Macaca fascicularis: one gene and its partners. The protein of the gene in region 1 binds, or shares a complex with, the protein of each later gene. Links are inferred from orthologs where the notes say so. Each region holds a gene or a part of one and is shown in the gene's direction. Other genes may lie near its edges. The genes, in order: DHX16, RNF113A, ARMC7, SNRNP40, SNIP1, SNRPD2 and RBM48.

Evidence for each region.
Region 2: DHX16 (region 1) and RNF113A share a complex: the UniProt entries of both Homo sapiens proteins name them as parts of the minor spliceosome. The link is inferred for Macaca fascicularis from reciprocal best matches to the Homo sapiens genes DHX16 and RNF113A.
Region 3: DHX16 (region 1) and ARMC7 share a complex: the UniProt entries of both Homo sapiens proteins name them as parts of the minor spliceosome. The link is inferred for Macaca fascicularis from reciprocal best matches to the Homo sapiens genes DHX16 and ARMC7.
Region 4: DHX16 (region 1) and SNRNP40 share a complex: the UniProt entries of both Homo sapiens proteins name them as parts of the minor spliceosome. The link is inferred for Macaca fascicularis from reciprocal best matches to the Homo sapiens genes DHX16 and SNRNP40.
Region 5: DHX16 (region 1) and SNIP1 share a complex: the UniProt entries of both Homo sapiens proteins name them as parts of the minor spliceosome. The link is inferred for Macaca fascicularis from reciprocal best matches to the Homo sapiens genes DHX16 and SNIP1.
Region 6: DHX16 (region 1) and SNRPD2 share a complex: the UniProt entries of both Homo sapiens proteins name them as parts of the minor spliceosome. The link is inferred for Macaca fascicularis from reciprocal best matches to the Homo sapiens genes DHX16 and SNRPD2.
Region 7: DHX16 (region 1) and RBM48 share a complex: the UniProt entries of both Homo sapiens proteins name them as parts of the minor spliceosome. The link is inferred for Macaca fascicularis from reciprocal best matches to the Homo sapiens genes DHX16 and RBM48.

The regions. Positions count from the first base shown.
Region 1 is NC_088378.1:141,993,824-141,997,323, forward strand, and holds part of DHX16 (pre-mRNA-splicing factor ATP-dependent RNA helicase DHX16), read left to right. Parts: intron 1-374; coding exon 375-485; intron 486-654; coding exon 655-770; intron 771-2,880; coding exon 2,881-3,091; intron 3,092-3,288; coding exon 3,289-3,387; intron 3,388-3,498; coding exon 3,499-3,500. UniProt on the Homo sapiens protein: Required for pre-mRNA splicing as a component of the spliceosome. Contributes to pre-mRNA splicing after spliceosome formation and prior to the first transesterification reaction.
Region 2 is NC_088395.1:126,232,984-126,235,870, reverse strand, and holds RNF113A (E3 ubiquitin-protein ligase RNF113A), read left to right. Parts: upstream 1-1,189; 5' UTR 1,190-1,295; coding exon 1,296-2,330; 3' UTR 2,331-2,387; downstream 2,388-2,887. Other genes in the region: NDUFA1 (NADH dehydrogenase [ubiquinone] 1 alpha subcomplex subunit 1), read right to left, coding at 896-997. UniProt on the Homo sapiens protein: Required for pre-mRNA splicing as component of the spliceosome. As a component of the minor spliceosome, involved in the splicing of U12-type introns in pre-mRNAs. E3 ubiquitin-protein ligase that catalyzes the transfer of ubiquitin onto target proteins.
Region 3 is NC_088390.1:81,488,731-81,492,897, forward strand, and holds the start of ARMC7 (armadillo repeat-containing protein 7), read left to right. Parts: upstream 1-1,367; 5' UTR 1,368-1,660; coding exon 1,661-1,751; intron 1,752-1,834; coding exon 1,835-1,978; intron 1,979-4,167. UniProt on the Homo sapiens protein: As a component of the minor spliceosome, involved in the splicing of U12-type introns in pre-mRNAs.
Region 4 is NC_088375.1:203,728,177-203,731,676, forward strand, and holds part of SNRNP40 (U5 small nuclear ribonucleoprotein 40 kDa protein), read left to right. Parts: intron 1-2,456; coding exon 2,457-2,579; intron 2,580-3,500. UniProt on the Homo sapiens protein: Required for pre-mRNA splicing as component of the activated spliceosome. Component of the U5 small nuclear ribonucleoprotein (snRNP) complex and the U4/U6-U5 tri-snRNP complex, building blocks of the spliceosome.
Region 5 is NC_088375.1:197,387,272-197,390,771, forward strand, and holds part of SNIP1 (smad nuclear-interacting protein 1), read left to right. Parts: coding exon 1-488; intron 489-2,657; coding exon 2,658-2,922; 3' UTR 2,923-3,500. UniProt on the Homo sapiens protein: Required for pre-mRNA splicing as component of the spliceosome. As a component of the minor spliceosome, involved in the splicing of U12-type introns in pre-mRNAs. Down-regulates NF-kappa-B signaling by competing with RELA for CREBBP/EP300 binding.
Region 6 is NC_088393.1:53,756,366-53,760,653, reverse strand, and holds the start of SNRPD2 (small nuclear ribonucleoprotein Sm D2), read left to right. Parts: upstream 1-1,488; 5' UTR 1,489-1,541; coding exon 1,542-1,543; exon of another isoform or gene 1,544-2,275; intron 2,276-4,288. Other genes in the region: QPCTL (glutaminyl-peptide cyclotransferase-like protein), read right to left, coding at 1-19, 521-727. UniProt on the Homo sapiens protein: Plays a role in pre-mRNA splicing as a core component of the spliceosomal U1, U2, U4 and U5 small nuclear ribonucleoproteins (snRNPs), the building blocks of the spliceosome.
Region 7 is NC_088377.1:128,829,428-128,832,927, reverse strand, and holds the end of RBM48 (RNA-binding protein 48), read left to right. Parts: coding exon 1-6; intron 7-1,796; coding exon 1,797-1,907; 3' UTR 1,908-2,207; coding exon of another isoform or gene 2,208-2,294; 3' UTR 2,295-3,103; downstream 3,104-3,500. UniProt on the Homo sapiens protein: As a component of the minor spliceosome, involved in the splicing of U12-type introns in pre-mRNAs.

The DNA.
Region 1 (3,500 bases):
GGCTGGTCTCGAACTCCAGAGCTCAAGCAATCCTCCCACCTCAGCCTCCCAAAGTACTAGGATTATAGGCATGAGCCACTGTGCCCAGCCTTCCTGCTTTTTACCTTAGCTGACTCTGCCTCAGCTAATCTGTTCTTTTCCAGCTCAAGTCTAGCAGAGCCATGAACTTAATTACCCAGAGCTAGGTGAGGACCCCCTTTGAGGGCCCTAGGTCTGTCATCCTATCTATTTGCCCTTCTTTTCTGGTATTCAGCATCTGTCTTTTCCTCCTTTTCTCCTGTCTGGCTTTTACAACTTCTTTCTCTGAATTGTACCTGGTCCCAGGGGGCATATTTAGCAAAGGGTAAACCTCTTCTTTCTTCCTTGTCATTCAGGGTTATACAAAGAAGGGTATGAAGATTGCCTGCACCCAACCCCGGAGAGTGGCCGCCATGAGTGTAGCCGCCCGAGTGGCCCGGGAGATGGGTGTGAAGCTTGGGAATGAGGTGAGATTTCTAGGGAACTGGGGGGTAGAGACTGGGGTCTGTGACTCAGTCTACACTGCCCTCAGGTCCCTACGGCAGAAGTCTTGGTGCTGCCCCACTTCACCTTTCCCCAAGTTCCTTTCAGGGCACACCATCCAACACTTGGTTGCTAATGGTTTCCCTTGACCAGGTTGGCTACAGTATCCGCTTTGAGGACTGCACATCAGAGCGAACTGTCCTCCGCTACATGACAGATGGGATGCTTCTCCGGGAGTTCCTCTCTGAGCCTGACCTTGCGAGTTACAGGTACATACAGGGCCCTCATCTCCCATGAGAGAGCTGCCCACATTCTCTTCCCCCTGTGCTGCCGCCTCCCTCCCACTCAGTTCTCTCCTGGATCTCTAATCTCTGGCTTTTCTCTCATTTCTTGCCACCCAGCCAATTCAGCCATTGTCTTCTGATTAATCCACCAGTTCTTATATCGTTATGGTTCAAACGGTCCTTGAACTGACCTCCAGGTACCACGGAGATGGGGCTGGAGGATAGAAGAGATTGTAGAGAAAGCCTCTTCTTCTTTCCCCATTCATCTCCAGGGTTAGGAAACAACCAGGATAGCATAGCATTGCTGCGGAGGCTTGAAATGCCATGTGGAGACCATTTGAAAACACCTGGAATGCTCAGCTCAGAGGGAGAAGCAGGAGAGGCATCCTGGTTCCCTCTAAATATGTGAAGGCTGTGACATGGAAAGAAGGATGAGACTTGGTTTATGTAACCCTACAGGATACAGCTAGGAGCCATGGGGAGGTTACAGGGAGACAGATTCCAACTCAATACCGATGGCTAAATAACCCTCAGAGTGTTGGAGATTGCAGGGCCTGTCAGAGTGGTTGGACTCTGGATCTTGGCCCTCCACACAAGTCTTGGGTAGCTTGGTCTGTGAATAATGAGCTCTTAGTGCTGGAAATGGCCAAGCAGAGGTTGGTTGAACATGTGTTGAGGGGGAAAAGGGATTCATGAATGTGCTGGGGTTGGGGTCAGGCCAGCTGAACAATATGTGCCCTTTTTTGACTCTTCAGAGGCTGTGAATTTCTGGCCCTGGAAGATCACAGTGGAGTGATTGGACAGATAGGATTTTATCCTTCATATCCCTTGCAAAAAATCTCTGAGAACCCATGGAGAGCCAGCCAGTGCAAGAGGGCCTGATGCAGATATTTTTGCCCATCGAGCCAGCCTGCTTTGTGGAATGACTGGGGGCTTCACCATCACAGTTAGGGTTAGGGACAAAGAGTTGAGGTCAGAGAGGTGGGTAGGGGAAGATGAGGATGAGTTCCTGAGACTTGGCTGCCATCCAGAAAAGCCAAAAAATAAAGCAAAGAGAAAGAAGGTGTCATGCACATAACTGAGTTAGGAGAAACCAGGGAGCATGCAGAGTCCTCTGAGAGTTGGGGTAGAAAGGCTTAACTTGCTCCTCTCTGCAAAAGAAGAATCCTTCTTAGCAGGTCTGGCTCTGTTACCCAGACTGGAGTGCATTGGTGCAATCTCGGCTTACTGCAAGCTCCGCCTCCCAGGTTCATGCCATTCTCCTGCCTCAGCCTCCCGAGTAGCTGGAACTACAGGCGCCCGCCACCACGCCCGGCTAATTTTTTTTTTTTTTTAAGTAGAGACGGGGTTTCACCGTGTTGGCCAGGATGGTCTCAATATCCTGACCTCATGATCCACCCTTCTCGGCCTCCCGAAGTGCTGGGATTACAGGCGTGAACCACCGCACCTGGCCTCTTTTTACATAGAGTGTCGCTCTGTCACCCAGGCTGGAGTGCAGTGGCTCAATCTTGGCTCACTGCAACCTCTGCCTCCCGGGTTCAAGCGATTCTCCTGCCTCAGCCACCTGAGTAGCTGGGACTACAGGTGTGCGCCACCACACCTGGCTAATTTTTTTTGTATTTTTAGAAGAGACAGGGTTTCGCCATATTGGCCAGGCTGATCTCAAACTCCTGACCTCGTGATCTGCCTGCCTTGGCCTCCCAAAGTGCTGGGATTACAGGTGTGAGCCACCGTGCCCAGCCTAAAGCATATCCTTCAACTTTTTCTAGTAAGAGCAGCTACTGAGTCTAAGCAGACTCTTGACTGAACTAGAGAGTATGTCTAACTTGTCCTGGCCTCAGTGCAGCCTCTACATCTTGGCTTCTATTGTCTGCTGAGGCTGGGATAGGTTGCAGATCATGGGTCCCTGGCCGCCTCTGACTTTCTGTTGGTCTTACATAACTGGGATGGCTGAGTTCTCCTTAGACCCCCCCTCCGTCAACAGTCATTCTTGAGCTCTTTGTGTCCATCACTCCCCTCTCGTCCAGGGAACCCTGGTGTCTGATACTGCATTGCCCAGCGCTCCTCCCTCATTGCTGCCCTATTCCCTCCCCAGTGTGGTGATGGTGGATGAGGCTCACGAACGGACCCTACACACAGACATTCTCTTTGGATTGATCAAGGATGTTGCTCGCTTCCGACCTGAGCTCAAGGTCCTGGTGGCTTCAGCCACACTGGACACTGCCCGTTTCTCCACCTTCTTTGATGACGCCCCTGTGTTTCGAATCCCCGGACGCAGGTTTCCTGTGGACATCTTCTACACCAAGGTGCTACCTCAGGGAGGATGGGCTTAAGTCTGTGGCAGAAAAGCTGAGGCCTTTGGAGAAAGTTATCCCAAGGAGGGAAAGATGGAGTGGAAGGTCCAAAGGGGAACTAGGATAAAGTATATGTTGAACGGGGAGGAGAGGAAAGGTTTGCCTAAGCAGGTGGCCCTCCTGTGACCGCATCTCTTTCTGCTCTCCAGGCTCCAGAGGCTGACTACTTGGAAGCTTGTGTTGTATCTGTGTTGCAGATCCACGTGACCCAGCCCCCTGGGGATATCCTGGTGTTCCTGACAGGACAGGTGCCTGACATGGTTGGGAGAGGGGAGGGTGTATCTCAGGGGAAGATGGGGCCGGCATGTTGGCCTTCTGTGACTCTGGGATCCCTGCTGCTCTCCCCACCCTCTATCCAGGA
Region 2 (2,887 bases), on another chromosome or scaffold:
GAAAATGAATCCTGATGTAAAACACAAGACCTTGCAGTAAATTCCTAAACGCTTGCAAGAGAAAGTGGGGAATAAAAAAGTCAAGGGTGGCCGGGAGCGGCGGCTCACGCCTGTAATCCCAGCACTTTGGGAGGTCAAGGCGGGTGGATCACCTGAGGTCAGAAGTTCGAGACCAGCCTCGCCAACATGATGAAACCCCCGTCTCTACCAAAATAAATAAATAAATAGCCGGGCGTGGTCCCGGCTACTCAGGAGGGTGAGGCAGGAAAAATTTTTTTTTTTTTTTTTGAGACGGAGTTTCGCCCTTGTTGCCCAGGCTGGAGTGCAGTGTCGCGATCTCGGCTCACTGCAACCTCCGCCTCCTGGGTTCAAGCGATTCTCCTGCCTCAGCCTCCCGAGTAGCTGGGATTACAGGCATGCGCCACCACGCCCCACTAATTTTGTATTTTTAGTAGAGATGGGGTTTCCCCATGTTGGTCAGGCTGGTATCGAACTCCCGACCTCAGGTGATCCGCCCGCCTCGGTCTCCCAAAGTGCTGGGATTACAGGCGTGAGCCACCGCGCTCAGCCAGGAGAATCTCTTGAACCCGGAAGGCGGAGGTTGCAGTGAGGGATTCTCAGGCTTGAGCCACCTCTTCTAATCTACCTTTCCGGCCCCCGCGTCGCTACTCTGCCCTAAGGCCCACTTTGATACACCCAGAAACGCTGTTTTTCACCAGAGCAGGATGTGGTTTCTACCGCGCTTCGTTTCGCAAGCCTCGGCTTCTAGGCAACCGGAAGAAAGTAGAGGGCCGGCCTCGGAGAGAGGGTCCGCAGGCTGACGGCCTCTCTGCCCACCATCCTTTTCAGAAATCAGCCAGTGGAGTCAGCCCCCGGGCCCAGGAAGCCGCCTTACCTTGCCCCCGTTAGTGAACCTCTGGATGTACGCAGTAGCCAGTCCTGGAATAAGCAAGCACACGCCCATGGCGGCGAGTCCGGGGAGAATCTCGAACCACATCTCTGCCCCGTTATCTAGGCCAAAACCCTACTTCTGGGTCCTTGAAAGGTGACCGGGCTTCGGCTCCCTTCCCAGTAAGCCCCGCGGCCGCCCGCGAGCGGGGCGGTGCCACGTACGGCTCCGGAGGAAGCGACGGGATCTGCCAGGGCTCAAGAGAGGCTGGCGCTCGCGCTCTCGCAGTTCTCTTCCGTCAGTGTCTTTTGCTTCGACTCCCGGCGGAGCGCGCGACGTGGAGTAACGCGCAGAGGCCAAGTGCAACCCAGGCAGCGACGGCCGTTTCGGAGCTCGGGACTCTAAAATGGCAGAGCAGTTTTCTCCAGGGAAGACGGCGGATCAGGTGTGCACCTTCCTTTTCAAAAAGCCTGGGCGGAAAGGGGCTGCTGGACGCAGAAAGCGCCCGGCCTGCGACCCAGAGCCCGGAGACAGCGGCAGCAGTAGCGACGAAGGCTGCACTGTGGTTCGACCGGAAAAGAAGCGGGCGACTCACAATCCAATGATACAGAAGACTCGTGACAGTGGTAAACAGAAGGCAGCTTACGGCGACTTGAGCAGCGAGGAGGAGGAGGAAAATGAGCCCGAGAGTCTCGGCGTGGTTTATAAATCCACCCGCTCGGCGAAACCCGTGGGACCAGAGGATATGGGGGCGACAGCTGTCTATGAGCTGGACACAGAGAAAGAGCGCGATGCACAAGCCATCTTTGAGCGCAGCCAGAAGATCCAGGAGGAGCTGAGGGGCAAGGAGGATGACAAGATCTATCGGGGAATCAACAATTATCAGAAATACATGAAGCCCAAGGATACGTCTATGGGCAATGCCTCTTCCGGGATGGTGAGGAAGGGCCCCATCCGAGCGCCCGAGCATCTACGTGCCACCGTGCGCTGGGATTACCAGCCCGACATCTGTAAGGACTACAAAGAGACTGGCTTCTGCGGCTTCGGAGACAGCTGCAAATTCCTCCATGACCGTTCAGATTACAAGCATGGGTGGCAGATCGAACGTGAGCTTGATGAGGGTCGCTATGGTGTCTATGAGGATGAAAACTATGAAGTGGGAAGCGATGATGAGGAAATACCATTCAAGTGTTTCATCTGTCGCCAGAGCTTCCAAAACCCAGTTGTCACCAAGTGCAGGCATTATTTCTGCGAGAGCTGTGCACTGCAGCATTTCCGCACCACCCCGCGCTGTTATGTCTGTGACCAGCAGACCAATGGCGTCTTCAATCCAGCGAAAGAATTGATTGCTAAACTAGAGAAGCATCGAGCTACAGGAGAGGGTGGTGGTGCTTCCGACTTGCCAGAAGACCCCGATGAGGATCCAATTCCCGTTACTTAGCTGTCTGATAATTCTTAAATTTAAATAATAAATATTTTGTTCTTTTGGAAGTCTTAATTCGTGTCCTTCCTTTGTAGAGACAGTGACAGAGAAGGCGGGTGGTGAAGTAGGGTCCTGGATTAAAAACCTCAAGGTAGGTATAATCAGGATTTTTAGCCCTAGGATAACCATTTTGCCTGTGTTTCTTTTCAGAACACTTTGGCATCAATTATAGGGGTGGGAGTAGTTTGAGAAAAGAGCTATAATTTGCTTGAAGTAGCCAAAGCTATGACGAAAGTAAGAACTCTGAGCCTGTTTATCATATCACATTTCTGTATCACTTAATAGTTTACAAAGTACTTTCATGCATTCTTTCTCTTGGGAGCCTGTACTACAAAATATACCGGAGCCAAGGTGTTGGGGAGAGGGGTTGCGTTTGGGGAATTGGTAGCTAGTACCACAGGCTTCACATATGGGAAATGTTCCTTGCTGTCTGGGTTATTTATTTATTTATTTATTTATGAGACGGAGTCTCGCTCTGTTGTCCAGGCTGGAGTGCAATGGCGCGATCTCAGCTC
Region 3 (4,167 bases), on another chromosome or scaffold:
CATAGTAAACTATATGGGTATTCAGGGAGGTAAAGAAAGAAAGGCTTTAAGGGAAAAAATAGGATTACATAATTGTTTTGAGATAATTATCCTTAGGTAGAAGAATTAGTAACAAGGGTGACCAGTTCAACGTTGGACAGGAAAGTTGCTGGGCAGATGGCCATTCAAAAGTATGTTTTGTGCAAGGTTGGGGTTTTTGCAGAATCTTTGTGATAGTTTTCATTATCAGATATTTATGCATGAGAACCCTCTTGTCATGGTTTTCTCCGACTCTGTCCGGGTTTTTTTGTTCTGTTTTTTTTTTAACACAAGTGACTCCAATTAGATTAACAACTTTTGCATTCTCAGGACACTCACAGCCTAAGCCACCTCTCTACCCCTACGTTGTCAAACGCGATGGGAGTGTAGTAAGGCCACCTCCTTCCCTGGTGCTTTGTTCCCTGTAACCACGAGTAGTAATCCATCACACACCTGCTTCCCGAGAATCCTCGAGAAGGAATCGGCCGAAGGGCTTCAGCATCCAGAAAGCCCCGAAAGCGCCACAAACAAGGCTCTTCCTCGGGCTCCCCGGTGCTGCCCCGGGCGCGCGCCATCCACCCGGCTGACAAAAAGCACCAGGACATGACCCCGTCCCCTTTGATTTCTGTCCAGAGGTGGCGGACTCACCTCGGGGCTGGGATAGAGGACGGGTCGGGGTCGCTACGCTTTTTGCAAAAGGGTCAAAAGACTGATGGGGGTGGGTAAGGAGCTGACGCCCGCGCTCTAAAGGGGCGTCCTGGTCAAGGAGGCTGGGCCGCGCCCCGCCAGCCATGGGGATCCTGGAGGTGCTTCTGCCTCGACGTCCTCCCAACATGGGTGCTGCCAGACTCCGTTGCGCTCCTGAGTTGCTCCTCACGTCATTCCAGCCGCCCGACATGGGTGCCTCACTTTCGGCTTCTGGGCCACGTCGGGGCGGCGGAGGACCCGGGGGGCCGGGCGGGAGAGTGGGAAAGGTGGGGCGGGAAAGCCGAGAGAGGCCCTCACCCGCCTTCCTGTTGGCGGGGGCGGCAAGTGGGTTTCTTTCTTGCGTTCAGATTTTGCAATAATTTGCAGCTGGACATAGGATATGGGAGACAAGGCTGCTCCTCGCAGTACACCCACCCACGCCCATACCTCCCTCGGCGAAGCGTGTCGCAGCGGGTTCCAGCGCAGGCTAAAGAGCTTCCGCAGCCAGAAAACCGAAAGCGCGCCGCGCACGCGCGCCAAGGAGTTCGGCGACGGCCCCGCCCCTCGCCTGCCTCGTCCCGCCCCTTCCGCGCCTTGTAGGGTGGGGACAGCGCGGCTTCCGCCGGGAGCCTGGAACCGAGCCCGGCAGCCGGGGGCTGGGCGCCAGTACCCACTCCGCCAGCCCCAACCCGCAGACGGTTCCCTGTCTCCCGCGCCCCAATTTCGATTTTCAGACCCAACTCCTACAGGATTCTGAGACCCCGGCCCATCTCCCCACATTCCATTTCCAGCTGCAAATTACTGCAGAGTCTGAACCCAAGAAAGAAACCCATTTGCCGTCCCCGCGTCTTCCCTCGCCAGACAGGTGGAGAGTGGGTGAGGGTCTCGCTCGGCTTTCCCCCTGCACCTTTGCCACCCGCCCGCCCGTCCCTGGGGGTCCTCCGTCACGCCGGCCATGGCCCAGAAGCCGAAGTTGGACCCCCACGTCGGGCGTTTGGGATACCTGCAGGCGCTGGTCACGGAATTCCAGGAGACCCAGAGCCAAGGTGAGAGCCACGGTGGGACCAGGTGACAGGGTCGGCTGTGACCGCCGCCCGGACCTGGCTCCAGTGCCGCTTTCCCGTTGCAGACGCCAAGGAGCAAGTCCTCGCCAACCTCGCCAACTTCGCTTATGACCCCAGCAACTACGAGTATCTACGGCAGCTGCAGGTCCTGGATTTATTTCTCGATTCGCTGTCGGAGGAGAACGAGACCCTGGTTGAGTTTGCTATTGGTAAGGGCTGGGCCCGTTCGCTAGATGGCTAAATGGGCCGGGGTGAGATAAGTGAGTTACAAGTGAGTCCTTGGGGCCTGGCGTGGTGGCTCACACATGTAATCCCAGCACTTTGGGAAGCCGAGGCGGGGGGATCACCTGAGGTCAGGAGTTCGAGACCAGCCTGGCCAACATGGCAAAACCTCGTCTCTACTAAAAGTACAAAAATTAGCTGGGCATGGTGGCGAGTGCCTGTAATCCCAGCTAAGCGGGAGCAAAAATTAGCCGCACACAGTGGTGTGCACCTGTAGGCCCAGCTACTCTGGAGGCCGAAGCAGGAGGATTGCTTGAGTCCGGGAGGCAGAGGCCAAAGTGAGCTGAGACTGCGCCACTGCACTCCAGCCTGGGCGACGGAGTGAGACCATGTCTCAAAAAAAGATGTTTTAAAAAGAGCAGTTTTGTAGCCAGGCGCGGTGGCACACGCCTGTAATCCCAGCACTTTGGGAGCCCGAGGCAGGCGGATCACCTGAGATCAGGAGTTCGAGACCAGTCTGGCCAACATGATGAAACCCCGTCTCTAACTAAAAATACAAAAATTAGCCGGGCGTGGCGGGCGCCTGTAATCCCAGCTACTCGGGAGGCTGAGGCAGGAGAATCACTTGAACCCGGTAGGCAGAGGTTGCTGTGAGCCGAGGTGGCGCCACTGCACCCCAGCCTGGGCAACAGCGAGACTCCGTCTCAAAAAAAAAAACAACAACAATTTCAGGTGGGTGAGGTGGCTCACACCTGTAATGTCAGCACTTTGGGCGGCCGAAGCAGGCAGATCACTTGAGTCCTGGAGTTCAAGACCGGCCTGGCAAAAGCCCATCTCTGCTAAAAAAAAAAAAAAAAAAAATTAGTCTGGCGTGGTGTCCCAGCTACTCAGGAGGCTGAGGTGGGAGGATTGCTTGAGCCTGGGAGGACGAGGCTGCAGTGAGCTGGGATTGGGCCACTGTACTCCAGCCTGGGTGACAGAATGAGAATCTGTCTTAGAAACAAAAGTAACTCATATTTAGTGTTTTCATATCAGGAGAAGCAGAGATGGCTTGCAGTCTGTAACTTACGGCTTCTTTTGTAGTTATGATCTTAAGACCTATTGATTTATTCACTGGGCAGATATTTACTGGGCATGTACCGTATATGTAAACTACTGCTCTAAATGCTGGAGTATGGTGAACAGGTTAGGGAAAGTGTTTGTCCCTCAGGAGCTTACATTCTAGTAGGGGGGACAGGTGGTTAGCAAACAAAAAAGATGATGCTCAGCAGCAAATAAATGGGGTGATGAGAAACAGCAGTAGAAGGTGGTGGTTACTTCCGTTTTGGCCATCATGAGAAAGGCATTTTAGCAGGGACACAGCATGGGCAAAGGCCTTAAAACAGGAAGGAGCCAGAAGGAAGATGAATGTGGCAGGATCGTTATAGTGAAGTGGAGAATGGCACAAAAAGAGGATAGAGAGTTAAGCGGCACCAGAGCTTGCCGGAGCTTAGATCTAGGCCGTGGGAAATAGTTTGAAGCAGACAAAATTTTGAGAACAAACAAAAATCCCTGTTTCAAGCCATGCACAGTGCTCATCTGTAGCCCCAGATAGGAGGATCGCTTGAGCCCAGGAGTTTGAGGCTGTAGTGTGCTACGATTGCATGATTGCACCTGTAAATAGCCACCGCACTCCAGCCTGGGCAACACGCGTGTGATCACCTGGCTGAAGTCTTGTCAGGCTTCTCCACTGTAAAATTACTCTTTCTTTCCCCTCTTTACGTATTATGTATTATACCCATTGGAAGGAAGTCACTACATAAATTATCTTAAATCTTTTTCTTTTTTTTGAGATAGGGTCTCACTGTGTCACTTAGGCTGGAGTACAGTGGTGTGATCATAGTTCACCATAAATTTAAACTTCTGGGCTCTAGCAGTCTTCCTGCCTTAGCCTCCCGAGTAGCTGTGACTACAGGTGGACACCACCATGCCCGGCTTTTTTTTGTTTTTAATTTGTTTTCGAGAGGATCTCACTGTGTTGCCCAGACTGGTCTCGAACTCGGCTTTTTTTTTTTTTTTTTTTTTTTTTAATTTGTTGTCGACACACGGTCTCACCGTCTTGCCCAGACTGGTCTTGAACTCCTGGCCCCAAGAGATAAATCGCTTGTAACCCTAAACAGACCCTCATTTCATAACA
Region 4 (3,500 bases), on another chromosome or scaffold:
GCTGGGATTACAGGTGTGAGCTGTCACACCTGGCCTGTTTAGTGAATTTTTGAACTAATTTTGTAAAGTTTGTATTCTTTGTCCTGTGTTACCACTGAATTCTTTTTTTTTGTTAGCTTAGTGGTCAGCTAGTGAATGACAGAAGTTTCCTAAATTACCTACAACAACAAGAACAAAAGCTCTCCCAGTCTTTGCAGATTGTCTTTTGGTATGTTGGAGCCTGCCTTCAACTCCTTGCTGTGCAGTTTACATCTCTCCTTAGCTTTCACTTCCTGCTTGTGCAGAGCCTGAAGGTCAACCAGAGAGCTTATGGCCTTCTCAGATCTTTTCTAAGTATGTGCCCAGCCCTGGACATGCAAGTGGTCTAGATTGCCAGGGATGGGCCAGGCATGGTGGCTCATGCCTGTAATCTTAGCACTTTGGGAGGGCGAGGCAGACAGATCACTTGAGGCCAGGAGTGTGAGACCAGCCTGGTCAACATGGCGAAACCCTGTCTCTACTAAAAATACAAAAATTAGCTGGGTATAGTGGCACGCGCCTATAATCCCACCTACTCGGGAGGCTGAGACAGGAGAATTGCTTGAGCCTGTGAGGTGGAGGTTGCAGTGAGCCGAGATCGCACCACTGCACTCCGGCCTGGGTGACAGAGGGAGACTCTGTAGGTAGGTAGGTAGGTAGGTAGATAGATAGATAGATAGGTAGGTAGGTAGGTAGGTAGGTAGGTAGGTAGGTAGGTAGGTAGATAGATAGATAGATAGATAGATAGATAGATAGATAGATAGATAGATAAGATAAGATAGATAGATAAGATAGATAGCCAGGAATATGTCAGTGCTTTTCAAAACTCTTACTCCCCAAATTGTCTCCTTCCCCAGCCCTTCCTCCCAAGGTTTTTGGTTTGTATTTTTGCCCCAACTGTTTTTCCTTGCCCCCAGGCACCAGAGGCTAATAATATCCTTTCCTTTAAATGTTTTCTTTTTTTTTTTTTTTTTTTTTTTTTTTTTTTGAGACGGAGTCTTGCTCTGTCACCCAGGCTGGAGTGCTGTGGCCGGATCTCAGCTCACTGCAAGCTCCGCCTCCCGGGTTCCCGCCATTCTCCTGCCTCAGCCTCCCGAGTAGCTGGGACTACAGGCGCCCGCCACCTCGCCCGGCTAGTTTTTTTTTTTTTTTTTTTTTTTTGTATTTTTTAGTAGAGATGGGGTTTCACCGTGTTAGTCAGGATGGTCTCGATCTCCTGACCTCGTGATCCGCCCGTCTCGGCCTCCCAAAGTGCTGGGATTACAGGCTTGAGCCACCGCGCCCGGCCTAAATGTTTTCAAGGAAAGTTCCAAGTTAGACAAAATAAATGTAAGTCCTGGCCGGGCGCGGTGGCTCACGCCTGTAATCCCAGCACTTTGGGAGGCCGAGACAGGCGGATCACGAGGTCTGGAGATCGAGACCATCTTGGCTAACACGGTGAAACCCCGTCTCTACTAAAAGTACAAAAAACCAGCCGGGCGAGGTGGCGGGTGCCTGTAGTCCCAGCTACTCGGGAGGCTGAGGCAGGAGAATGGCGTAAACCCAGGAGGCGGAGCTTGTAGTGAGCCGAGTTGGCGCCACTGCACTCCAGCCTGGGCGACAGAGCAAAGACTCCGTCTCAAAAAAATAAATAAATAAATAAATAAATGTAAGTCCTTTGAGCTTATCCTTCAGGGAGCCACCAGACAAGTAAAAATAAACAATTTTTATTGTTTATTCTTTGACAATAAGAAATAGGCCCCCCTTTGCTTCCTCAGTACTAGGAAACCATACTGGGAATATGGGTTATCTTCAAAGCTGTTGCTGAGCGGGAGACAGAGCCAGCACAAGTTAAAACACTACAAAACCCTTTTACTGGGACTCAGGGGTTTTTTTGTTTCCTTTTTCCTCATTAAGGGTTTGCCTGGTTACTATAAACTTTTGATTAGTTATGAGAGTTCCGACAGTTGATTCTGACAGGTTTTTGCTGGTTCATTTGTTGTTTTGTGGAAGGACAAGCTTTTGTCATTGTTTATTATACTATTTTCACTGACGTACCCGCTCTCTATTTTTTTAAATGTGGGTTGCAGCCCACTAATGAATTAGTATCTACAGTTTGAAAAAATTGTCTGATATCCTTGTTGTCCTAAAAAATATATGAACCAAGTAATTAGTGGAATTCCATTCTAAGAGTATGTTGATTTAACTCTGTTTATTCACTTTAACAAAGAAGTCTGAAAATATAACTGAAGTTTTGTTTCACCAGCCTTCAAATGTCTTAGCAAAATTGAGGACACTGCTTACCATGTGTGTTATTAGGATATCCAGGAGTTAGTGAAATGGGATCCCAATTATAGATGTGTTCATGTTCACAAAGTCCTTGTACTTAGGGATATTTGTACTGTGCAGTTACTTCTTAGAATGATATTAATGATAGACCCTGTTGTCCTTTGCTTCAGCTTTGGGACATCCGGAAGAAAGCAGCCATCCAGACATTTCAGAACACGTACCAGGTGTTAGCTGTGACCTTCAATGACACAAGTGATCAGATTATTTCTGGTGGAATAGACAATGATATCAAGGTATGTTTGATGTTTATGATATATTTCCATTTCACCCATCTGCACTTAGAAACAAATTTTTTCAAACTTCTGAAATTGTGGTAGCTTTGCACTTAATACCAACTGAAAGGAAAATAGTAATTTGGAACTTATTTTCTTTTTCTCCTGTCTTCATTGACTTCCTAAATTAAAGGTTGCACTGCAGATCTTATAAATGCTGTCAGGGACCAGGCACTTAATGTGAAGTGTGAAGTCTCTGTAGGGGGACTATGTAAAAAATAAAGAGTGCATTTCCTTTTAAAGACATTCAGAATCTTTTTTTAACCATCTTAGTTTAATGGGAGCAGTGAATCAGTTTGTGATTCTGTATCCTCATCTCTCACTGTGTTTTTCTTTTTGACACTATGGAAAGGGAGTTTTCTAAGTTTCTCTAAGAATGAGAGAAGGTAATGATATTAAAGAGGCAATAGACCATATGGCAGTACAGTGTAGCTCAAACTTTCAAGTAATTGACTTGAGTTCTAATCCCAGTTTCACCATTTTCTAGTTTTGTGACTTCAACACCTTCTTTAAGCCTCTTTTTCTTGTGTGAATGCTGAGGGGGTAGTGATAACAAAAACTACCACATGGCATCTACCACATACCATTGTAGCGATTAAATGAGCCTGATTAGAGCACTTAGCAGAATTCCTGGACATAACAAGTGCCAGGAAATGTGTTATTTTGGTCCTGCACGGCTTCTGTCTTCCTTTCCTATTGGCTTCCTTGGGGATCTTAACGACTTTGACCTTACCTTCTGCTTTATAGTGAGAATAGTAACTGTCAGATAAATACTCAACTTTCTGTGTTGTCCTTTCCTAGAAGTTGTACTGTATTTCCATCCCTCGTTGTTTCCTTTGCTGTTACTTTGGATGAAATATCCTTGCTTTTGGCCAGGTGCGG
Region 5 (3,500 bases), on another chromosome or scaffold:
TCCCACCAAAGGAGAACGTCTAACGAGAGACCTGGGAGTGGGCAGGGTCAGGGACGGGAGCGAGACACTCAGAACCTGCAGGCTCAGGAAGAAGAGCGGGAGTTTTATAATGCCAGGCGACGGGAGCATCGCCAGAGGAATGACATTGGTGGTGGCGGTAGTGAGTCTCAGGAGTTGGTTCCTCGGCCTGGTGGCAACAACAAAGAAAAAGAGGTGCCTGCTAAAGAAAAACCAAGCTATGAACTTTCTGGGGCACTTCTTGAGGACACCAACACTTTCCGGGGTGTAGTCATTAAATATAGTGAGCCCCCAGAAGCACGTATTCCAAAAAAACGGTGGCGTCTCTACCCATTTAAAAATGATGAGGTGCTTCCAGTCATGTACATACATCGACAGAGTGCGTATCTACTGGGTCGACACCGCCGCATTGCAGACATTCCTATCGATCACCCATCTTGTTCAAAGCAGCATGCGGTCTTTCAATATCGGTAAGTAACATGGAGGAAGAAACTCTAATGTGAGCAGAAACAATTGCTCAGTTAGTTAGGATTACTAAGATTTTTGTTCATACATATACAGAAGAATCCCATACCCCTCATATCTAAAGAGTATTGTTAATCTAACTTCCCTTTAAATAATTGTTTACATATTTATAAGAACATTATACTTTTAATCTATTTTTTGTTTTTTTGTGACAAGGTCTCACTCGGTCACCCAGTCTAGAGTGCAGTGGAGCAAAGACAGCTCACTCCAGCAACCTCTTGGGCTCAAATGATTGTCTCCCACCTTGGCCTCCTGAGTAACTGGGACCATAGGCATGTGCCTCTGTGCTCTACTAATTTTGAAACTGGTTCTTGATAGCTTGCGTGGGACATCTGTGATGATTCTCACAACAATCCTGTGAGAAGGATAGGACCGGTTTTTGGTTTTTTGTTTTTGTGAGACGGAGTCTCCTTCTGTGCCCAGGCTGGAGTGCAGTGGCGCGATCTCAGCTCACTGCAACCTCTGCCTCCCGCGTTCAAGCGATTCGCCTGCCTCAGGCTACCGAGCAGCTGGGAATACAGGCGCACGCTGCCACACCCAGGGAATTTTTGTATTTTTAGTAGAGACAGGGTTTCATTGTATTGGTCAGTCTGGTGTCGAACTCCTGACCTCGTGATCCACCCGCCTCGGCCTTCCAAATTGCTGAGATTATAGGTGTGAGCCACTGCGCCTGGCCCATTTTTTGTTGTTGTTGTTGGTTGTTGTTTTGTTTTGTTTTAACATGGTCTCCTGACTTTGAATGGACAAGTATTTATATCCCCATTTGACAGATGAGAAAACTGAAGCCCAGCAAAACCAAGTGACTTGCCTAACAAATGATCACTATAGTACAGTGGTCCCCAGCCTTTTTGGCACCAAGGACCGGTTTCATGGAAGACAGTTTTTCCATGGAACCAGGGACATGGTTTCAGGATTCAAGTGCATTACATTTATTGTGCACTTTATTTTCTTTTTTTTTTTTTTTTTTTTTTTTTTTTTTTTTTTTTTTTGAGACGGAGTCTCGCTCTGTCGCCCAGGCTGGAGTGCAGTGGCGCGATCTCGGCTCACTGCAAGCTCCGCCTCCCGGGTTCACGCCATTCTCCTGCCTCAGCCTCCCGAGTAGCTGGGACTACAGGCGCCCACAACCGCGCCCGGCTAATTTTTTGTATTTTTAGTAGAGACGGGGTTTCACCGTGGTCTCGATCTCCTGACCTTGTGATCCGCCCGCCTCGGCCTCCCAAAGTGCTGGGATTACAGGCGTGAGCCACCGCGCCCGGCCTATTTTCTAATATTATCTCATTGTAATATATAATGTAATAATTATACAACTCACCATAATCTAGAATCAGTGGAAGCCCTGAGCTTGTTTTCCTGCAACTCGATGGTCTCATCTGGGGGTGATGGGAGACAGCGACAGATCAGGCATTAGATTCTCCTAAGGAGCACGCAACCTAGATCCCACTTGTGCACAGTTCACAATAGGGTTCACGCTCCTATGAGACTAATGGCACCGCTGATCTGACAGGAGGCGGAGCTCAGGCAATAATAATACGAGTGATGGGGAGCAGCTGAAAATACAGATGAAGTTTGGCTTGCTTGCCTGTCTGCCCACTGCTCACCTCTTGCTGTGCGGCCTGGTTCCTAACAGGCCACGGACTAGTACCAGTCCATGGTCCAGGAGCTGGGGACTCCTGCCATAGTAGAACTCTGGCTCAAATATAGCTCCCTTGACTCTGAAGTCCAGGTCCACTGTTTTTTCCCATTTGGACAGGAACTGAAATATATTGAAATATAGGTTAAAGAAACATTGATTATAAACAACAGAAAAAAATGTATTTTCTTAACCACAGCAAGAGACTTTGGATTCTGCATTTCCACCTTTTGATCTTCCATGGATTCTCCCCACCCTCCAGTAACCCATTCTCACCTTTTCTACTAAATATATTTAAACTTCCAATTTCCCTTCCCAGGGCCATGCTTTCCCCTTGATTTCTTTGATTCCCTAGAATTTTAACTTGAATTATGCTCAAGTCAGGTTATTTACATCATCTAGGCTGTCTTAGCAAAGAGCTTCAGAGAGGATGGATGATCTGAGGCAGAAGTTTGCTCATAGGTTTCTCCTTTTTCTCTGCTAGGCTTGTGGAATATACCCGTGCTGATGGCACGGTTGGCCGAAGAGTGAAGCCCTACATCATTGACCTTGGCTCAGGCAATGGAACCTTCTTAAACAACAAACGTATTGAGCCACAGAGATACTATGAACTAAAAGAAAAGGATGTACTCAAATTTGGATTCAGTAGCAGAGAATATGTCTTGCTCCATGAGTCGTCGGACACTTCGGAAATAGACAGGAAAGATGATGAGGATGAGGAGGAGGAGGAGGAAGTGTCTGACAGCTAACAAACTAAGAACCCAAACTATTGAGACACGTTTTCCTTGTTGGAAGGCTTTGATTGACTCAGAGAGCACTATGGTGGTGGGTCCAACACTATCATGCTCTCTGTAATGCCTCTTACTGCCTTAAGTCTTTCCCCTGTTGCTGACCAGATTGTGTTACCATTTGAATACACTGACTAATGTTTGTTAAACTTTTTCTGTGGCACCTTGGCCACATGCCTGCAGGCATTTGTTTTCGGAACAGTCTCACCAATTACAACACACCGTGTTTTAGTAGAAGCGTTGTGGTTTTAGTTGGTGCTTTCAGAACTGCTGCCTAGGAAACTATAAACCCTTGGTTAAGGGTAAATCATGGCTTGTTCTCTTTGTACAGTTAACTTTATTTATATAGGTATTAAGCTTTGTGGACCAGGTGTTTTTCTTTTGGGGTGAACCCCTGAGCAGAGAATCTTACTAGGCTTTGGTTATCACCAAAACAACCTCCAGTATATACCAAAGCTTTGACCTGGTTGAGCTCTTGAGCTTAGAAGTTGATTTTGCACTTAGTCTTTTGGGGGTGGGAATGTACTGCAGTCAGTAAA
Region 6 (4,288 bases), on another chromosome or scaffold:
GGCTTCCGATCAACGGGACCTTGGGAAGGAGGTGGGATAGGGAAGGGAAGAATGAGAGCAACCCACCATTTCATCCCTACCCCGGGCGCCGTCACCCACAAGCAGCCCCGGGTCCTCTTTCTAATTTGCGGCCTCCAGCATCGGAGACTTCTAGGATAAATCCAAGGCTCAGAAAAAGTCCTTCCAAGACCATCCGGTCCAGCCTACCTCAAACTTGATGGGGAAATCGAGGCCCAGTGAGAGAGAGGGGAGATGGAGGAAGGGACTCTTCCAAATAGTTGACTAAAGGCGTAGAACCCTGAACCCCCTCGTCTTACTATTTCAGACCTTTCCTCATAAAAGGAAGCTACTGTTGTAAAACCAGCCCGAAGCCTTATTCCTTTGGTAAGGGTCATGCGCTCAGATGACGAAGACTGTGGCATCTGCGGTTAGGGCCGTACGCTAAAGCCAAGTCAACCCTGGGTAACAGCGGGGAGGGAATGAGGGTCCCCGCGGTGCCCGGGTCCCCGCCCAGCCTCACCCGCAGCTCCCGGCCCAGCGGCAGCTCCTCAGTCCTGCGGTGCCAGCCGCTCCAAATGGTGTAGAACGCCGAGCCCACGGCCAGCGCCAGCAACAGGGGCAAGAGCCGAACCCGCGGTAGCAGGCGGCGCTTCGGGGGCAAGAGTGGCTCCATAACGCCACGTTCCCCTAGCCGCAGGCGGGGCCGCCCGCGGCCCCCGGAACGCATGGCAGCTATGCCCTGAAACCTGTACCAGACCACGATTGAGTTTAGGCCCAGCCAAGTTCCACCCCATGGAATCAGTGGGCCAATAAGCAACAGCAGCGGCTGCACCTGCCCACCCCACAGCGAGCAGCGAAACCAATAAGAGCTACGGTCCTGAGGACACGCCTCCCGGCCTCCCTTGGGTATTGGGGTTGGTTCTTCTGAGAATGGCACGACCCAAAAGGGAGCGCAAAAGAGATAGGCTCCGCCTTAGCGGAGGGGGAAAGCCAATGAGCAGCGTTTGATCGTGGAAAATATTCAATCTCTCGGGCGCAGGTCCATGCCCCTCCCGGATGTAGGCAGGGGATTGGTGGCGCAGGGTCGGAAAGATCAGTAGATACGTCAATAACCCGTCCCAGAGGGAAGAGGGGCGGTGCCTGTCTCCGAAGCGAGGAGCGGATTGGCTTCAGCGGAGGCCGCGCCCCCGAAGTCACGGCCGGCGGGCATTTGGAAATAGTTTGTCATTTCCCTCCTTAAACCTGTACCATTCTTAAACGAAACGGTTTGAATCAGACCGCCTTTCCTTTTGTCTTCATTGTCATAAACATCTGCCCCGTGTGGTTCTGACTGGCCTCGAACCCCTATCCGAGGCTTTTATTCTTTCATTGTGCACCGTTGGTGGGCAATGCTATGGCAACAGGCCACGCCTCCACTTACTGGTTGGCTTTGCGCAGGCGCCAACGGAAGTGGGTCGCAGGAAGAGGAAGTCCCGCCTCTCTCGCCTCAGGCTGCAGCAACGCGGAGGAAACGGGAGTGAACGGAGAGCTTAGTGACCATCATGTGAGGCCGGGCTAGGCTTAGGCGGCGGGAAGGAGGTTGAGGGTGGAAATTTTGACCGATTGAGGGTGGGAAGGGTTGAGCAGAGAGCGGGGTGGGGGACAGGGGCAGATGTTTTAGGGATGGAGCGTCCTGCGTTTCTCCTGATGAGTTTGAGAACGGGCGTGGGGCCTTTGACGCATCGTGACTTCGGGAGAGGGGACAGCTTTATCAGATAACGCGCTGGGCTGGGCGCGGGGACTCATGCCTGTGATCCCAGCATTTTAGTAGGCCAAGGCGGGAGCATCGCTAGAACACAGGAGTTTCGAGACTACTCTAGGCAACATAGCGAGACCCCCGTCTCTACAAAAAAAATTTTTTTTAATTATGAAAAACATATTTTAAACGATAACGGAGGGGGGTCCTAGATAATTAGTCCTATTGAAGTGAATGTTAAGGGGCAGCGATTTTACGAATACTGGGGGAGGCCGGGCGCGGTGGCTCAGGTTTGTAAATCCCAGCACTTTGGGAGGCCGAGGCGGGCAGATCACCTGAGGTCAGGAGTTTGAGACCAGCCTGGCCATTGTGGTGAAACCCCGTGTCTACCAAAAATACAAAAATTAGCCAGACGTAGTGTCGGGCCCCTGTAATTCCAGCTACTTGGAAGGCTGAGGCCGGAGAATCGCTTGAACCCGGTAGACGGAGGTTGCAGTGAGCCGAGATTGCACCACTGCACACTTCCAGCCTGAGCGAAGAGTAAGACTCCATCTCAAAACGAAACAAAAGAAATCAAAACGAATACTGGGGAAGGGAAGTTAGGACTTTTAGAAATAATGATTTGAAATAAGGGACTTCTCCTGATCATTTGAGCTGGAGACAGATGCGTTTTCGACCTAATTCACAACTTAAAGGGATAACGAGTGATTGGCATGATTTTGCTCATTTATTAGTGCACCAAATATTACATTGAATGTTTATGTATCAGACACTGCTTAAGCCACATAGGATACATCAGTGAATGAAACCTTTTGTTCCCAAGGAAAAAAAAAATCTTTTTTTTTTTTTTTTTTTCCCGAGACATAGCCTTGCTCTGTTGCTCAGGCTGGAGTGCAATGGTGCGATCTCAGCTCACTGCAACCTCTGCCTCCCGAGTTGAAGCAATTCTCCTGCCTCAGCCTCCCGAGTTGCTAGGATTACAGGCACCAACCACCATGCCCAGCTGACTTTTATATTTTTAGTAGAGACCAGATTTCGCCATGTTGGCCAACCTGGTCTCAAACTCCTGACCTCGAATGATCCACCTGCCTCGACCTTCCAAAGTGCTGGCATTACAGGCGTGAGCCACCGTGCCTGGCCGGGCGTGAGCCACCATGCCTGGCCGGGGTTTTACTTTCTACACTGAGATGGCGGGGGGGCATGGGAGGATTTTCTTTTGTTTGTTTGAGATGGAATCTCGCTCTGTCACCCAGATTGGAGTGTAGTAGCACGATCTCTGTCTCCTGGGTTCAAGTGATCTTCTTGCCTCAGCCTCCCAAGTAGCTAGGATTACAAGCATGCGCCACCATGCCCAGCTACTTTTTTTTTTGGGGTGGGGGATGGAGTCTTACTCTGTAACCCAAGCTGGAGTGCAGTGGTGTAATCTTGGCTCACTGCAACCTTCGCTGCTGGGGCTCCAGCGATTCTCCTGCGTCATCCTCCTAAGTAGCTGGGACTAGAGGCATGCGCCATCACACCTCGTTAATTTTTTTGTATTTTTAGTAGAGACAGGGTTTCACCATGTTGCCCTGGGTGGTCTGGAACTCCTGAGCTCAGGCGATCCACCCCCCTTGGCCTCCCAAAGTGCTGGGATTACAGGCGTGAGCCATCACACGCAGCCTAATTTTTGTATTTTCTAATTTGTATTTATTTATTTTTTGAGACAGAGTCTCGCTCTGTCGCCCAGGCTGGAGTGCAGTGGCATGATCTCGCTTCACTGCACTCTCCGACTCCTGAGCTCAAGCGATTCTTCTGCCAGAACCTACCAAGTAGCTGAGATTACAGGCGTGCACCACCACGCCTGGCTAATTTTTTGTTGTTGTTTTTGTTTTGTTTGTATTTTTAGTAGAGATGGGTTTTCACCGTGTTGGCCAGGCTGGTCTCGAACTCCTGATGTCAAGTGATCCACCCGCCTTGTGAATCATCACCAGCTGGATGCCTAACAGACATTTTCTTTTCTTTTCTTTTCTTTTTTTTTTTTTTTTTTTTTGAGACGGAGTCTTGCTCTGTTGCCAGGGTGGAGTGCAGTGGCGCGATCTCAGCTCACCGCAACCTCTGCACCACAAAAGTGCTAGGATTACAGGCATGAGCTACCGTACCCAGCCCCTGGGAGGGCTTTGAAGAGTGACATGTTATGATTTAGGTTTTAGCACAGCCCCCTCAGACCACTCTGTGGAGAACAGACTGTCAGGGAACATGGGTGGAGGCAGAGAGACCGGAAAGATTCCAGGTCAGAGATGACAGAGGCTGAGGCCATGGTAAGAAATGGCCACTTCCTACAGATTTATTGTAGGATGCAAGGGAAAAAGAGGAATCAAGTTGACAAAGAGTTTTTGCCCAGAGAACTAGAAGGCAGATGGGGAACACTGTGGATAGGGTAGGCTTCGGTGGTTGGGTGATCTGGACCCCGACCTGAGACATGCAGAGTTGAAAATGTCTGGCTGAGCGCGGTGGCTCACACCTGTAATCTCAGCACTTCGGGAGGTCGAGGCGGGTGGATCACGAGGTCAGGAA
Region 7 (3,500 bases), on another chromosome or scaffold:
AAAGAGGTAAGGTTATTTTTAAAAACTGTTCTAAGAGACGATTTGGTTATAGGACTAAATGGGGAATTATTTGTGGGAACAATAGTATTGTAATTTTTTTCACTTTTTAGTTTTTTGATGTGTTTTTCTATAGTTCTCTGTTGAAATAACTGAATTTGGCTAACATTTTATTTGCTTTGAACTGTTAATACTTGCTTTAAACAATGAACAGACATTTTATATCACTGTAGATACAAAATATTAAAGCAGTGGTTTCAGCTAATTACATCAATCTGTGAGAGTGGTGCCCAGGCCTGCCATTTTTGTTAAAAGCTCCCCAAGTAGTTCTAATATGAGCCAAAGTTGAGAAGGAAAATTCCATTTCTCTCAGATTTAGAGTTATTACAGTTTATATCAAAGTAAAATGCTTAATTTGCTTTTGTGATAAAGAGCAATAGAAGGTGAGATTTCTAAAAATTGGGCCTCTAGGTATGCATTTCAAATGTAGACTTTATTTTATTTTATTTGTTTATTTATTTATTTATTTTTTGGAGACAGAGTCTCACTCTGTCGCTCAGGATCTACGGTCACTGCAAGCTCTGCCTCCTGGGTTCACACCATTCTCCTGCCTCAGCCTCCCAAGTAGCTGGGACTACAGGTGCCCGCCGCCATGCCAGGGCAAGTGTTTTGTATTTTTTAGTAGAGACGAGGTTTCACCATATTAGCCAGGATGGTCTCGATCTCCTGATCTCGTGATCCACCCGCTTCAGCCTCCCAAAGTGCTGGGATTACAGGGATTACAGGCATAAGCCACCACGCCCGGCCTCAAATGTAGACTTCTTAAATGATCAGGATCAGATTGTGCTGCCTAGGTAGTCTTTTTTTTTTATGTCATTTATATAATCATTTTCCATTTCCTAAGCACAAATAAAGTTAACATCTGAGTTAGCTTTCGAAAGACACCTTTTTGTGGGATGGGGTAGGGGCTACTATTACAAATCATAAACTGAGGGTTATGACATTCTCTTATACTTACTCCAAGATGCAGAAAGTGCTTTTCACATGGTTTTACTCGTATTTTACAATGTGATTAAGGGAGGCTCAGGTAGCTTAATTTCTTATATGTACATTTTTTACCTGAAAACATCTGATTAAAGAGGCATTATTTATTAATAATTAAAATCCATGGGCACAGTTTTGAAGCCGCCTTTAGTTTTTCAGTTTAGGCTGGGGACAGTGGCTCACACCAATAATCTCAGCACTTTGGGAGGCTGAGGTGGGAGGCTGAGGTGAGCAGACTGCTTGAGCCCAGGAGTCTGAGAGCAGCCTGACCAATGTGATGAAACCCCATCTTTACCATAAATATACAAAAATTAGCCAGGCGTGGTGGTGCACTCTTGTAGCTACTTGGGAGGCTAAGGTGGAAGGATCACTTGAATCTGGGAGGCGGAGGTTGCAGTGAGCCAAGATCATGCCACTGCACTCCAGCCTGGGTGACAGTGTGAGACCCTGTCTCAAAAAAAAAAAAAAAAAAAGGTTTTCAGTTTGTGCTTCCACCCTTCCTTCCTTCCTTCAGTTGCAGCTGAACTGAGGCATAGACATAGATACGCAGCTGTCTCAGCCAGAGCTGATTACATTTTAAAGAAAAACGTGTGAAGTCCAAATTCTAGGTCCAGAAATAGTAGAACAACAAAAAAAAAATGTTAAATACAGTTTACTATAGTTTCTAATAATTTTCCATTTCAAATGAAGACTCTTTGCTTTGGCTTATTGTACACTCTCTCTGATAGTGTGTTTGCCTTTCCTTTTTCTCCTAGGAAATTGAGGATTATACTGCTTCCTGCTCATTTCTCCAAATGTTTTCATCCCCCCAAATCTATCAAACATTATCAGTGTTTCAAGAATGCAAAACCAGGATATCTATCTGAATCTGTAATATAACAAGTGACTTTAGATCTATAAAGGAATGTTAAAGTGGAGCATATGTTCACTTTTCTTCCTCCAAATTTTTTTTCTTTTTAAGTAGCTTTAGAAATTTTACTCTCATCAGTGTTTGAACAGAAAACTTCACTCTGTGCCTAGGTCATAGGCTGGACCTTGAACTTAAGCCAACTCTGCCTCAAAAGCCGCATCAAGGATTGAACTATTGGATGTAGTCTTACCTCTTCTAATAGCTTTACTCCTGTGCTATAGAAACTAAATTTTAATGGTTCTTTTTTTTTAATTAGGTAATTTCATCTGTGCCAAAGCATCCAGAGGACAAGCCGGAAGATGTACATACAAGTCATCCATTAAAACAAAGAAGAAGAATATAGAGTGCCAGCAGCAAATTAGTACTTCCTGAAAAGAACATTTATTATTTATTTTTAGCCTGTCATTTTAATTCTTCTAGAGATTTTACTGCTGGTATTTTTTAATGCACTCCTCTTTGTAATTTCATTCAAGCTATTTATCTAAAGTCATTTCTTTCTTTCTTTTTTTTTTTGGGAGATGGAGTCTTGCTCTTTTGCCCAGGCTGGAATGCAATGGCATGATCTCAGCTCGCCGCAACCTCCACCTCCCGGGTCCAAGCAATTCTCCTGCCTCAGCCTCCTGAGTAGCTGGGATTACAGGCGTACACCACCATTCCTGGCCAAGTTTTGTGCTTTTTTAGTAGAAATGGGGTTTCACCATATTGGTCAGGCTGGTCTCGAACTCCTGACCTCGTGATCCTCCCACCTCGGCCTCCCAAAGTGCTGGGATTACAGGCATGAGCCACCATGCCTGGCCCATTTCTTTTTTTTTCGACCCATACTTAATGTTGCAGAAACTATTCTTGTCATAACATTACCTCTCATGTACAGTAATTATATGTAAATTAATTGAAGCAAATATGGAAACTACAATAACGATAGGCAACCAGCATCTGTTTCTGATTATAATACAAGTATTGAATGAGCCATTGAAACACTAGAAGTCAGGGTGTTTCCGAATGCCAGGATTTCAAAATCAAGACAGTCTGTGAGGTAAAAAGTAGATTAACTATTAGAACAAAGCTGAAATTAGAATCTTATATGCTTTCATTAACTTTTAAGAAGAATTTGCTTGACCTGTGGCAATCCAAAAATAAATCAGTATTTATAAATTTTAGACTTCTGTTACTGCTTCTGGCATATCCACACTTTTTTCTGTCAGTGGGTCACATAATTGGAAATTTCAGTACATCTAGGCTGTCTCCATTTTCTTTTTCTTTTTAGTAGAGACAGGGTCTCATTGTGTTGCCCAGGCAGGTATTGAACTCCTGGGCTCAAGTGATCCACTCACCTTGGCCTCCCAAAGTACTAGGATTACAGGTGTGACCCACTACACCTGGCCATTTTCTTTACCGGTAAAAATAACTTGAGAAGGTCCATACCATGGCATGTTGTTTTCATTTCTCCCTATCTTTAATGGCCTCTTGCCTAGTAGATTGAATTTGAACATACCAGTTAATAAGGTTCTGTTTCAGCTATGATTTACTTGTAGCAGGACAAGCCGCAGAC